Linked DNA regions of Lepisosteus oculatus. The protein of the gene in region 2 purifies or fractionates together with the protein of the main gene of each other region. This does not show direct contact. Links are inferred from orthologs where the notes say so. Each region holds a gene or a part of one and is shown on either strand. Other genes may lie near its edges.

What was found. Proteins that work in one complex are often made in the same cells at the same time.
Region 1: the proteins of alpha-soluble NSF attachment protein (region 2) and stx18 purify together in Homo sapiens (affinity purification with mass spectrometry; 4 studies listed by BioGRID and IntAct, with this or other methods). This does not show direct contact. The link is inferred for Lepisosteus oculatus from reciprocal best matches to the Homo sapiens genes NAPA and STX18.

Annotation. Positions count from the first base shown.
Region 1 is NC_090696.1:43,625,275-43,632,485, forward strand, and holds the start of stx18 (syntaxin-18), read left to right. Parts: upstream 1-4,131; 5' UTR 4,132-4,223; coding exon 4,224-4,376; intron 4,377-7,211. UniProt on the Homo sapiens protein: Syntaxin that may be involved in targeting and fusion of Golgi-derived retrograde transport vesicles with the ER.
Region 2 is NC_090698.1:6,291,021-6,298,563, reverse strand, and holds the start of alpha-soluble NSF attachment protein, read left to right. Parts: upstream 1-4,472; 5' UTR 4,473-4,490; coding exon 4,491-4,678; intron 4,679-6,894; coding exon 6,895-6,974; intron 6,975-7,543. Other genes in the region: zbed4l2 (E3 SUMO-protein ligase ZBED1), read right to left, coding at 1-1,108. UniProt on the Homo sapiens protein: Required for vesicular transport between the endoplasmic reticulum and the Golgi apparatus. Together with GNA12 promotes CDH5 localization to plasma membrane.

The DNA of each region.
Region 1 (7,211 bases), on a different chromosome or scaffold from region 2:
ATTAATAACACAGAAATTGGTTTTAGTGACGGCTTCTACTAAAATCAAAGTAAAGCAATGCTTTTGTTGGAACTGGTGTAAGAAAAAAGGATAATTCCACAGTGCACACCTGATTGGCCTCAGAAAGTTTCACTGGACTCTTTTTTTTACAAGCTGGCGGCATGAGCTGTCTGAAGATGTAATTGGGGGGGTTTGCTTGAGGTCAATGGCTGTCAAATGCCATCGTCATCAGAAATTTCTGTCTGGTACTTGGGCACTGTAACTTGTCAGTTAATGAAAGCTACTTTTATATTCAACACAGGAGAAAACACAGAAATTGTAAGGCTTAGGTGCTGAAGCTGCGAAAGTGGAGATGGAATCACAGAGTTATGCAATACAGAGCAGGGTTTATAATGCAGCATTAACAAAGGAAATGAGAAAACCACACAGCAAATAACAGGCTTTTTATGCTAAACATTAATGCCACTTTTTAAGTTTAGGTACAGTTCCAAGGGACTTCAAATAAATGGTTTTGTAAGAAATATTACGTACAAATTACTACATAAGTCTAGACAGGACATTATTTCTTTATTTACGTTGGCAAATGCAGAATTTGGTTTTAGTCAAATAGTAATTTTAAATATGTATGTTTGGACATATGTAAAAATAAGTAAACGTGTGAACACGTAAATATTTATGTAGATTAGTAACCTGTTATCCACTTCCTGCAATAAACAGAAAGAGTAATTAAAACAGAGGCTATATATTGTAAAAGGATATATGTGATTTCCTTTCTATTGCTACTAGAAAGGTAGACAGATGTTTAACTGCTCCTGAAGCACCAAACCGGATTTGGTCTGAAATGGAGCACAACATTTTTAGTAATAATTGACTTAGTTAACTATCTAAAAGTAAATGATCATTAGAAAACATCTGTAAAGACTATAATAAAAATGACAATGAAGAAAGTCACACATTATGAATTACTTGAATGAAAACAGCCAGATTATTCCAAAGTAAACCTTTGCTATGAGCTTGTAAAATAATTTGTCTTGTGGTTAAACAGTAATCTTTTATTTAGTTTTTCAACAATACCATTTGTTATTTCTCAATAACAGAAAATAATGTTGAAAAAGAGACACTTTCAAGTGAAAGCAGACCAGCAGGATTAACAGTCGGGCAATTTATTTTTTCCTTCATTCTTGGTGTGTCTCTTCACTCAGCTATTAAACCTGTAGTTGTGAATTCCATATTCAGTATGAAAAATAAAGTTTAGTTGAACAGCCTTTAGATTCAGAAGCTTTGAATGATAAACTGAATGTAATGAACTGTTTATCAACACACAGTTAAATTAAAATAACTGACTTGTCACTCTTTTGTTGTTCGTGTTGCCGTCAGGTATTGGGTGTGACTGGAGCAGATATTAGAAACACTTAAGATTAAGTCAATTTCAAGGCATGATTATTTTCTACCAATTGCTCTCAAGAAAATAATAGATGTTATTCCTCGACTGTTGGCAAAACTTTTCCCACAGTCATTTAGGAGAGGATTAATACCCACTGACCGGAAAATGGATAATGTTGCACACATCCATAAAAATAGTGATTATCAGAACCTACTATTTATAATCCAATAGGTCTTATTACAGGTGATCTTATGGAAATGATATTAGAACTTACCTGGCAGATCATATCTGTAGAACAGTAGGGTTTTATAATATAGCAAACAATGATATAGAAAAGGTATGTCTTGCTAAACGATTTTGCTATAACAACAGTAATATATACAGAGAAAATGACATGGTTTATGCAATGTTTTTGGATTAAGAAAATTACTGCAGTATCACAAGGGCCTTTATTATGACCACTTCTCATCCTAATGCACTTTCTGTGGGGGAGCAGAGTGCATTTAAAAGTGAAAACAGGACGTACTTTTCACACAAAGATTTGTGGGAATTTGGTACATATTATCCAGTCATGTTGTAAAAGCAGATACCCTGGGTTCTAGAAACAGATGGATCCACAATTGATCAATTAATTATCTATCATCTAAATAACACAGATGAGCAGAACGGCCTTGTCTTGTCTGTAGCCTTTGTTTTGTTCTTACAAAATTTTGTGTCACGTTTGACTACATTTTGTCTAACCATGTATTGTATAGCTTTGCAAACGATAAATTAAGGAAAATATTAATAGGACAATAGGGTAATGAAAGTAAGTGAACAACTAAAGATAACTTTGTGTGTGTGTGGAATTTATTAATGGCAGATTAATGTATTCCTTCAGTAAAAATGAAAAACATCATTAATAGTTTCTAACATACCATTTGAATATGCATGTTTAAATCAGATTATAGTGTATATATTTATATTAAATATAATATAAATATAAATATATTAAAGGTGGGTAGCTGCGTCAGCATGCGTAGGCTGCAAAGGAACAAGTAATAGGTTTATTCCATGCTGAAAAAAAGAAGAAAGAGAACACAACGTTTCGGCCGTGGAGCCTTCTTCAGGTGTGAAGAAGGCTCCATGGCCGAAACGTTGTGTTCTCTTTCTTCTTTTTTTCAGCATGGAATAAACCTATTACTTGTTCCTAAATATATTAAAGCAGTATTGTTTAACTACACTGTCTACAGAGCTGCATAGAGGTCATAGCATCATAACAGAATGATACACAGACTCCAGAGGTGATTATGTTGTATTCATGAAGAATGAAGGGGGAGAATGTCCCTAATACAAGTTCATGGAGTTTTATATATTCTCTTTACCTGTCCACCTCTCATTACACCACTGCAATTCATAAAACACTTAAGATTAAGAACTTGTTTGTACATGGTATTTTGCCATGCCCTGAAGGCTTGCAACTATTCTTGGCTTTGACCAAAAAATGTTATTAAATGCAAAAGCCATACACCAAATAAAATGTAAAATCAATAAGTTTAAGGTAAGTAGCAACAATCACTCCTTGCTGACAGAACTCTTAGTTTAAATGATTTCTCCATGTTAACTGGTTAGTTGTCAAATATATTTTCTGAACTGACTATATTATTAGTTAGCTTCAGTACCATAACAAATATATTAGTTTACTATACAGTTTAATACAAATAAATTAGAATGTTGGTGATTTGTAAAGCTTGTTTTTATACAAAAGCAATGAACTATTACATTTCTCTTACTATCTACATATTCATTTCAGGATGTCAATGGTCTTTTTATGCAAAAAGGTGTCATTTTTGTGTGTGGTTCACGCAGTTTACCATTACCTTTGTGATCCAAGCTAGCAAATATTTGAGTTCTGCTTCACAAGCCTTTGTGAATCATGCTATGGGCATTTCCTTTGTCAAGTAACATTTTATTGTAGTGCATAACTATGTGCAAGCAAACCTTACGACTATGTTTTCCCATGTAAAACCTAGTATTAGAATAGGCAGACTACCTATTTTCCAAAGTTATTTATGACACATAACCACTTCACATTGTAAATTAAGGAGGGCAAGCATTTCAAAGCAAACTGGACAATGAATCCCTCTCATAAAATCTAGAAGTCTGACTAATGCTGATATTCTTGGCCTTCCCTGTGGTGTGTCAATAGCAGATGCTGACAGCTTCAACATTCTCTGCTTTGCTTACCGATTGAAGTTGTGACACTCTTGTGACTGCAGTCAGTCGTTCTTATAAGGAAGCTACATTTCTATACATACATCAAAATCCAAAAATGTTTTTTTCTTGTATGAGCACTGCTCTTATTATATGATGTATGTAAAACATGTTGTGATTAAATTAAGTTCATCCAATACACAATACATTCTGCATATGTATAAAAATGTCTTCAAATATTTTCATTTCAGAGTAAACGTATATATTACAATCTTCTCATAATTTTATGAGACTTCACACTACATAATTGATTTAAAGAGTAAACTGTTAAACATTTATTTTGAATATGAACACTACGGACTGCATTACACACTCTTAAACCTCCTCAAGTGTGTTTTAATAAATAATTTTAAGTTAGTCTAAAATATGCTTAATGCTTTCAGACTCTATAATATCAAGAACAAAAAAAAAAGAATAATATGGACCAATCCTGCAATCGCCAAACGTTATGTGGAAGGGAGAAAGACCACGTGTATTGGTCTGTCGCAGAAATATGACGTTAAAGACGGTGACGTGTCTTTGTTGACAGCAGATACAGGGGGTTTGCTTTAATTTTCAACGTTTGTGAGAAAGGCATGGTTTAGAAATGGCTGTTGATATAACGTTATTGTTCAAAGCGAGCGTAAAGACTGTGAAAACCCGAAATAAAGCCATTGGGGTTGGATTCGACAGTACAAAAGATGACATCCTGAAGAAAACCAGACTTAAGAGTGACTTCTCCACAAAAGCTAAGGAAGTGGTGAGTGTAATTACAGTCCAGAAATAAGATTCTGGGAATACAAACATTTATAAACCGTCTGTTTTACAGAGAGTTTAGTTATGCAGATTACAGTTATTTTTTCATTGACCGAATATGTAAGGTGTTTTAAATCGGAATGTAGCACCTACACATTTTCTTCACAAAACTGTCGACTTTCTTAATAAATCTCAAATAAATACATTCTAAAAGTGCTATATCATAATGCAATAAGAAGTTACATAAATAAATTATCTCCATTTTCCATTAATTTTGGTGTCCAGAATTTCTACTCGCCTTAACTTCAGAAATGTATAAATGCAAAGTCTGTTTGTCATGTTGTCATCATATTGAGCCGACATGGCGTCAGTTTCAATAGCGATATGCTCAGGATGTTTTTTTTTAATGAAAGAAAGCGTGGGATTTTTATACTAGATGCACATGTCGAGGTTAAGATACACATCAAGGAAAATGTAACTATGAATATATAGTCTTTCTGAAACTGTTTCTTTACCTAATGTGAAACCGTCTGATGTATCATCAATCGTAACTGAAGTTGCTGGTACTTTACTCTGTGGTACTGCAGCAGTACTTACACATTGTAAACAGTGGAGGACTGCAAGTAGTGACGGACCCGGTAGATGGCATTCTTTGCTCTGGAACAGAAAAATACAGTGCAGTCTTAGTGTGGTGACAGAGGATGTGTAGTGTGAGGGTACACTTGAACTAAGGTACACTTTAAAATGGAGCCTGGCATGCAGATACCTATGGTCAAATACCAGTCATTTCTCAGAGGCTCAGGTGTTATTAAACCTTAATAATTACCTTCAGTATTTTATTCTATAAAAATTGAATTTTCATATTTGACTTGCTGATAGCATTCTACTGCATCCTTTGCTGGAATATGACCTTTTTCTGTTACAAAAGATTCCTGGTTCATAAAGACCTTCTCACCACACTACATTTACCCGAAATGTATCTGAACATCTAATGTCACAAAAGCAGAAAAGAAATAATTTGACTGTGCAGACTCTTATTTAGCATTATGAAGATTTAGCCAACAACTTAATTTGATTGTTTTTTTTTAATAATACAAATATGACGTAAACCTTAAAGTGGTGGTAAATTATAAATGAGCAGTGTTACTGATCAGAGGCCCAGGTAGTTTCTGTCATGATGCATGAGGCATAATATGAGTCGAATCATGTTAAGAATCTGTCCTTTTATTCCAGAATCATGTTTAATAGGATTAGGTTATTTTTTTTCTCTCATTTGAGAATTTACCATTCACTTATTCTGCGTTACTCTTTTCCCCATAGACATTTACTGAAGGGCATTTAACATGTTTATTTTATCCTATTTGGTTCGTTTAAAAGTTAAGTAAATGCTTTTACTTTTTTTTTTTTACAATTCTGGATGTAGTCCTTGTTAATTTTAAAAGATACTATTTGAACTATGAAATAACCAAATATCCTTATCAAAGCTTTATTCGTTCAGTCCTTGTTTGTCAAAAAGAGGAAATTGTAAATTCTTCTGTTCTTCACCATTGCATACCACCCAAGTGAAATTTCATTTAGAGTAAAGTTAAAGACAAGTGGGGTTCTTTTGTTGTGTGAAGTCGTATTTCCCCAAGAGAAAAAAAAAACCTTTTTCTTTTCCTTTTAGTGCCATATTCCTGCACTGTCAAGTTATAGTGACTTCACCTTGATGCAACATCTGAGTGTAATTTATTTTTTTATTGGAACCGTATTTTCTGTGCCTAAAACCTTTGACAGAAAGAGCCTCTTGAGCTCTCTAACTGTTCAATGGGACAATTGTACAAGGAGTATTCAATTGTTGTATAGTTGCACTGTTAAAACATCAGCTTTAGCAGATACGACCAGTTAGAGAATGCCTAAGACATTGGAATTGTGAAGAGCCAAAATCTAAAGAGATCTTTAACGGAAGAGAAATGGAAAATTGCAGGAAGATCCAACATCAATAAACTACACAATAGAAAGCCACTGGTAACATAGAATTCATGATTTAACATTCAATCAATGAATAAAAGAGATGAAAACACATTAATTAAATGCCATCAAGAGCAGGGCATTGCCGTGTTGCATTCTGAATGTGAAATGCCTAGAAATCCTATGCAAGGAGGTTGATTCAGCTGCTGGTATCTGTCTCCCTTGTAAAATTGAAATTGTTTAATCGTCAGTTCTTAGTGTTTTGCCCATGTAGCATATCAATCAATGTTTATTCTAGCAATTTCTAGACGTCAGCTGACATTCTGTACGGTAAATTTGGCCTTATTCATTAAGTGCTTCTTTCTTCCATCTGTGTTCTGTTGAAGCATTTCAGTCTTCAAAACAGCTGAACCGGTGGCACCAATGTTTTTAGAATAGTGGAAATCTACATAAAGTTTATGAAACCTTGTATGCATTTCAGTATGAACATTAGGTTATAGGCAAAGTTTAAAAATAAATATTTAAGAAAATAATTGTAATGTAAACCAAAGATTTTATTGCCGTGAATCACAATTTCTCCCTTCTCTTTAACAGTTAAAAAGTTCTTAGATTTTTTTATTTTGCCTCTCTAAATATTTCAAAATGTATAGTTATGAAAACAAAGGACATTAATGTGTTTTTATCTTCATCTTGAATAATACAAAACATGAGGTACTGAATAAATATTTTCATACCTGTTTCTTAAAGAATGCAGACTGTTTGAAATCGGCTGTAAAATACTATATATAGTGGTTTCAATATAGTATTAAAAAATCATATTTTATGAAATACCATTTCAGCAGATTGGTGAGGGGCTGTTTGTATTACATTATACCTATTACAGCATATA
Region 2 (7,543 bases):
CCTCGGGCGCCCAGCAGCGGTCGTGCACGACGGAGGAGACGGCGCTCTCCGGCAGGCGGAACTCGGAGAGCACGGACCGCAGCGCCGCCCCCAGCTGGGCCTCCGGCGCGCCCTCCGCGAGCTCGGGCACCGGCCGGGTCTCCAGCACGCAGCGGGCCAGGCGCCAGTCCCGGTCCACGAAGTGCGCGCTGACGGTCAGGTAGAGGCGGCCGCCGCCCCCGCCCGCGCCCAGCGACCTCCAGCGCTCGGCGCACAGCGTCAGGCCGCGGGGGGGCAGGCTGGCGCTCAGGTGCTGCTCCAGGTGCTGCTTGAGGGCGTGGTAGCGGTGCCACAGCAGGCTGCCCAGCTGCGAGGGCGAGGGCGCCGGGTACTGCGGCTCCAGGCAGCCCAGCAGCAGCCGGAAGCCGCGCTCCTCCACCAGGGACAGCGGCTGCAGGTCCCGGAACACCATCTCCAGGATCAGGTCCGTCAGCAGCCCCGCCCGCTTGCTGCTGCAGCCCCGCGCGCCCCCCCCGCCACCGCCGGCCTCCGGGTAGAAGAGCCCGGACAGCAGCGAGTGGCTGGGGGGCTCCGGCTCCGGGGCGCCGGCCGGGATCCCCCCGCCCGCCCCGGCCCCCCCACCGCCGGCGGCGGAGCCCCCCAGCCGCGCCCTCTTGCTCTCCCCCCCCTCAGGCGAGACCTCCGCCTCCTGCGTTTCCTCCTTGACCACCACCAGCGCCGCCGCCCCCCCCCCAGCCCCGCCCGGGCCGGGCAGGAAGGGGGCGGGCGGGGGCGGGGCCAGGAGGGCGGGGAGGGAGTGGTTGCCGGCGGCGGCGGCGGCGGGGGGGGCGGGGGCGGGGGCGGGGCCGTTGTCGCGGATGCTGTGCTTGCGGACCAGGTGCTCCCTCATGGTGGTGGTGCTGTTGTGGAAGGACAGCTGCTTCTTGCAGACGTTGCACTCCACGTGGCTCTCGCTCAGCTGCGTGTAGTAGTTCCACACCTTGGACTTGCGGCGGTCCACCGAGGCGCAGTACAGCGGCCGCCCCAGAGGCCCCCCCGCGCCCCTCTCTCCGCGCCGCTTCAGGGGCGGCCCCAGGCCCGAGGGCAGGGAATAGCCCGGAAACTCCATGGGGAGCAGGGGGAGAGGGCTCCTGGAGGCTGAGGAGACACAAGACGGTCGGCTGGCGACGTGGGGATTCTTGAAGTTCGAGATTCTCGCTGTTCGATAAAGAACAGGCTGGGCAGCTTGTCTTATCTGATGAACGTGATCACGTTACACCTGTTCGCTTCCCCCCTGCCACATCAGCAGGGCCACAATGCACTGCAAGTGTGGGGTAACCCCCACCCTCACCTGGAAGGGCCCCCCGTTATCACACAATTCCCTCCTGTGCTGCTCCCATAACACTTTCCACACCCCTGCCTGGCTCAGGATTTGACACTGGCTTTACTCTTCTTGCACCGTGATTTCACTGTGCTCGAGAGTTCTCTTACCATGATTTCAGTGCTTCATTACACTTCACTGTGCTTTTACCATGACTTCCCTGCTTCATAACACTTTACTTGTACCACGGTTTTACCATACACCACTACTACTACTCTTTACAGTGCTTCTACATGATTTCACTGTATTTGACACCTCACCCTGCTTTTACCACTATTTACTCCCAAAACACTCTTCCGGAAGAAATATCAATCGGAGCCTATCGTGAATACTGCTGTACACTCTCCAGCAGCAGGTAAACCAACACGCTGTGACCCACCTGGAAAATATCTTTGACACTGAAAGTCATTGACTGGAGCCAGACGAGCCGAGTAACTCGTCACACCCGGGAGCTGGACCCACCGCCCTCCGGAGTCCAGAGCCCCAAGCCCCTGTTCTGTACTGCTGCCCTCTAGCGGTGGTACAGCGCACTGCAGCGCCTCTCGCACCCGTGTCAGCTGGAGCGCCAGCAAGCAGCTGACAACGAAGGAGACCAACAAGCCTGCCCATGAAGAGCGCTACAAAATAGGCGACACGCAGTGACTACAAAGGCTGAAAAACGAGGCCACGGATATGCCCAGGACACAGAGCAACCAGGAACGGGCTTGACGGAGTGATGAATCCGGGTCGTGTAGCCGCAGTGGGACAGACTGGCCAGCGGGCAGTGGGTGCCAACGTCACCGCACTGACGCGGGCTGAGATTTCGCGGATTCGTGGCCCGTGTTTGTTGTTGTTGTTGTTGTTGTTGTTTGTGTGTGTGTGTGTGTAAACGCTCAGGTCGAGTCCTGCGTTTCCCGGGCTGTGTAAGTCGCGACTTAAGCCGTCGCTACCCCCCCTCTGCAATGACACATGACTCGAGTAACAGTTTACTTAGACCAGCGGTCAGGTAACGTCGACACCCGGCGCGCCGCCGGCCTGCGCCGGACTGGACAGCCCGCAACACTCACCCGGTCGCTAGGGGATCCTGCCGCCGGCTCGGGGCACCACGGTTACCGGGGAATGAAACGGAAGGCGGGCGCAGAAGCTCGTTCGGAAGTCACACATAGCCGAACCCCAGCCCGCGGCCCACCTTCCGACGGGAAATGATTCTTTCATATCCAGGGTCATGCTGCAAAGTGCCGCACCGCCCGGAAAACGGAGGGCGAAAGGGGACGCACGGTTTAGGGACCGTCCCCCATGCGCAGCGGGAAGCGTATGCGGATTTCACACTTTGAAAATCAAAAAACCGGGGGACGAAATTCTCGTCCTCTCGCCGGAAGGCTGGAGCAGCCCCGCGGTGCCGAAACGCACGATTGCGCGTCCGAGCTGCGCACAGCGGCGAGAGACCAGACCGGTTGTTAAACCGGTATCTGCGGGTACCAGACACCAGCCTCCACCCGACGGTGGACCTCGCTGCAGTGCTCAAAGGCATTCCTGTCGAAATTTCCCTTAAAGCGTTGTTTGGCTGTAACTACTGTAATTCCTTTGTCTAAATTTGGCCAGTTTGAACTGTCTGATTTTTCTCATTCTGTCGAGCTGTGGAACTTCGCTTCAAGGTTTGTTGAATACGTTACTAAATAAAAACTGAACGGGTTAACGGGCGTCCTTGTCTTTTATTAAGGGCATTTGACGGGATTTTGAATTGTAATTTAAAAAAAATCATTGAAAAAACATTTTTTAAAGCTTCCCTAGTGCCTGCTGGTTGTTCGTTTCTAAAAAACACGAGATCGAAGATTCACTGGGATCGGACTGGTTACCATAGTAACGGCTTCCGGCCGCACGGAAGCGCTGTCCGGTATAGGAATCCTGAGCTCGAGGCTGGAGGGCTGGTCCTGTTACCCACCTGAAGGTGTTCGAGACGGGGGATGGAAACTGACTCTCTGTGCTGTCCTCTTAGGGACCTGTTGCGGTAACATTCCCAGGAACACACATTTGACACACACACATACACAATGTAGGAAACAACACGTCAAGCCATGCAATCGGTCTCCCATACACCTGTTTGCAGACACCTGTCAACACTGCAGAATTAGTCCACTAATTTTGGACTATTAGTGTGTACATGCACTTTTCTGTTGTACAGAAGTAGTTCAGGTGGGGAGGTGGCGTCAGCATGCCTAGGCTCAAAAGGAACAAGTAATAGGTTTATTCCAAGCTGAAGAGAGAAGAGGGAAAATGTTTCACCCGAAGAAGGCTCCACAGCCGAAATGTCGTCTTTCTTCTCTTTCCAGCCTGGAATAAACCTATGGCTTGCTCCCTTTGTATCATACTTCTACAATACTCTTGCTTTCACTCTACTGAGATGATGGCATATCGTGGAGATTGTCGAAAGCTTGCCAGTGGCACGGTCACCACTACACAGCAGCCAGCAGCCAGTAGCCATATCACCCTGCAACTCACAACTGGCAACCCACTGGAGCCCAGCAGGTGTGAGCCTGGTCAGTACCTGGAGGGGAGAGACTCCTGGGAAACACTAAGGTTGCTGCTGGAAGAGGCGTTAGTGGGACCAGTAGGGGGCGCTCACTCTGCGGTCCAGGTGGGTCTTAATGCCCCAGTATAGTGACGGGGACACTATACTGTAAACAGGTGCCGTCCTTTGGATGAGACGTAAAACCGAGGTCCTGACTCTCTGTGGTCATTAAAAATCCCAGGGCACTTCTTGAAAAGAGTAGGGGTGTAACCCCGGCGTCCTGGCCAAATTTACCATCGGCCTTTATCAATCATGGCCTCCTAACAATCCCCCTCTTCATTTCTCTGCTCTCCTCCCCACGGATACCTGGTGTGTGGTGAGCGTTCTGGCGCACTATGGCTGCCGTCGCATCATCCAGGTGGATGCTGCAGATTGGTGGTGGTGGAGGGGAGTCCCCATTACCTGTAAAGCGCTTTGAGTGGAGTGTCCAGAAAAGCGCTATATAAGTGTAAGCAATTATTATTATTACACGTCGACAGCGCTGCAGTGTTGTGCTTCACGGTCTCTGGCAGGCGGGCCCGGCGCGTGCCTTTGCTGCGCCCCTCCCACGTGACACGGGCGCCGGCCCGCGGCTTCAGCGAGATGTGTCAGGCGTCAGGCGCAGACCGGAGCGAAGCCCACAGGCGCCGCAGTGTAACCGAAGCAAAGCGCACTGTCAGCGCGGACGCAATCATGGACAATTCCGGGAAAGAAAAGGAAGCACTGGCCCTCATGGCAGAGGCCGAAAGAAAAATCAAATCGTCGCAGTCTTTCTTCGGGACGTTGTTTGGGTGAGTGGCAGGTGGCGGCGGAGCGGGGTCGCGATCGGTTTGGCTGCCGGGGAAGGAGAGCTCGTAGACGGTCTAAGCTCGTTAGGAAAATCCGAGGGCGTGCGGCTGACGGTACAGAAGCAGAGGCCTGGCCGTAAAAGGCTGTCATGTATGCTTGGGAACGCTCCTGGTCATGTGGCATAACGATATCGACCTCCATGCGAAATAAAAGGACACCATCGATAAATACATTTTTAACTTTTTTTTTTTAGAAAAGTTGTACAGCACCGTTGAGCTACGGGCTGAAAAGTTGCTTGATCATCGATTTGCCAGCCTGTTCCTTCCTGGGTCGATTGTTCTGCCGAGTTCGGGGAGGGACGCAGGTCTGGGAGCTGCGGTTACGAGCTCCGCGGTCACATGTGTCGTCGAGTCAGCTGATCACACGACACCAGACTGTAAACAAAGTACTCTGACACCGGGTCCGCATGGTCTGACCCAGTGAGGAGCACTGGTCTGTCTTCCACCGCAACACAGAACATTCAGAGTGTCCTCTACCTGAACTGTCGTGTAGGGACCAGTTGTAAAAGGGCTGTCCCACTGTACTGGGACTGTAGCCCCTATTGTAACAGGACTGTTCTACTGTACTGGGACTGTAGCTCCTACTGTAACAGGACTGTTCTACTGTACTGGGACTGTAGCCCCTATTGTAACAGGACTGTTCTACAGTACTGGGACTGTAGCTCCTACTGTAACAGGACTGTTCTACTGTACTGGGACTGTAGCTCCTATTGTAAGAGGACTATTTCACTGTACTGGGACTGTAGCTCCTATTGTAACAGGACTGTTCTACTGAACAATCCTGTTGTTGTACTGATAATGAATAATTACAGTAGACGATAGAGAATCTTATCGAGGCATCTAAGCTGAGATGCTGTGTTGTAGCAGAAATGGAGCCCAGCAGGACAGTGAGTGTGTGTTAGGGGGCAGCTCTGTGTGTGAATTTCGTACTGTGACAATAAGATAGATAGATACTTTATTGATCCCGTGAGGGAAATTGCAGAAGAGGAGGGAAACATGCAGGTGTGTGCAGGCAGGCAGGCAGGCAACACCCCCTCTTGTGCTTCTGGAGAATCAGCATCTGGGTGAAGTTTATTCAGAGGTAGAGGTGCGTATCTTAAAGGGAAACTGCAGTCCCAGTTTCTCAGACCGGTTATTACAACTTGGTAACAAAATGATTCATTGACCATATAGGAAAAAAAAAGACAAATCTGAATTAAGCACAAGTACTGTAAGTCACCATGTTGTCGCGAACTCAAACATCCGAGTTGCGACGCGATGCGACCCTTCCTGCTCACTAGTCTCCATACTGACTAGTGAACCGATAGGAACCGATTGTGCAGCAGACATTTCACCACAGAAATGATCTGTATGCAAGAGTAAACAAGTAAGTGGTATTTGTCTGTAAAACGTTTCAAAACCTGAAGCAACATTTCTGCTGGATTAAAAGAGATTTATTTACAAAGGAACAGGTTAAGGTTTATTCCGTGTTGAAAGGAGAAAAAAAAAGAGACCACTGTAGAAATGTGTGCCTTCCTTCAGGTGTGTTTCTGCAATGTGAAAAACACAGTGGATTAAAAGCCGGCTTGTTTTGTGATGTAATAGGGCCACAACACGTCACCGGTAGTTTTGTTGCCTCTTTCTCAATCACAGAACACACCTGGGAATTTCAGCAACTATGTGATGTAACTTGGAGGCTTGACAAGTTACTGTGCACGTTTGACTGTTATTGTGGTTTGAAATGCACCCATCAATGCTGTTTTTTTCCTAACCCCGAAATCTAAAATCGTATATTTCAGTTCCCCTTTAGCTTGGGAACTAAGCCACCTCTCGCTCTCCCCAGCAGGGAAGAACGTCTTTCCTCAGTCTCCGCCCACAGAGTGGCTCTGCTTGTGTTTCCACCTGTCCGTTGATCCACTGGACGGGAACAAATTCAGATAATTTCCTTCAGTAAAATATAATTCACTAACTGCAGCAGCATTTGGAAAGATGTTACCTGGGTACTTTAGATCCCTGTTGGCTCAGTTTTGTTTGTCAGAACTATGCAGTGTTAATGCGTTAGGGAATCAGACTGATGACGGGAAGGAACTTGCTCTAAAACATTTGTTTTTACATCTACGTAAAGTAGTAGGCTCTGACCTTGCCTGTGTCCCTCCCTCTGTTCCTGGCTGGGTGTCCAGGGGCTCATCGAAGGTTGAGGAGGCATGCGAGATGTACGCACGCGCTGCCAACATGTTCAAGATGGCCAAGAACTGGAGTGGTAAGAGACAGAGACAGTGAGAAGGAAGGAGGGGTCATAGCGGAGTGTGTGTGTGCAGTGAGGTGTGATGCGGTGCTGTAGCAGTGTGTGTGTGTGCAGTGAGGTGTGATGCGGTGCTGTAGCAGTGTGTGTGTGTGCAGTGAGGTGTGATACAGTGCTGTAGCAGTGTGTGTGCAGTGAGGTGTGATGTGGTGCTGTAGCACTGTGTGTGTGTGCAGTGAGGTGTGATGCGGTGCTGTAGCAGTGTGTGTGTGCAGTGAGGTGTGATACAGTGCTGTAGCACTGTGTGTGTGTGCAGTGAGGTGTGATGCGGTGCTGTAGCAGCGTGTGTGTGCAGTGAGGTGTGATGCGGTGCTGTAGCAGTGTGTGTGTGCAGTGAGGTGTGATACAGTGCTGTAGCACTGTGTGTGTGTGCAGTGAGGTGTGATGCGGTGCTGTAGCACTGTGTGTGTGTGCAGTGAGGTGTGATGCGGTGCTGTAGCAGTGTGTGTGTGCAGTGAGGTGTGATGCGGTGCTGTACCAGTGTGTGTGTGCAGTGAGGTGTGATGCGGTGCTGTACCAGTGTGTGT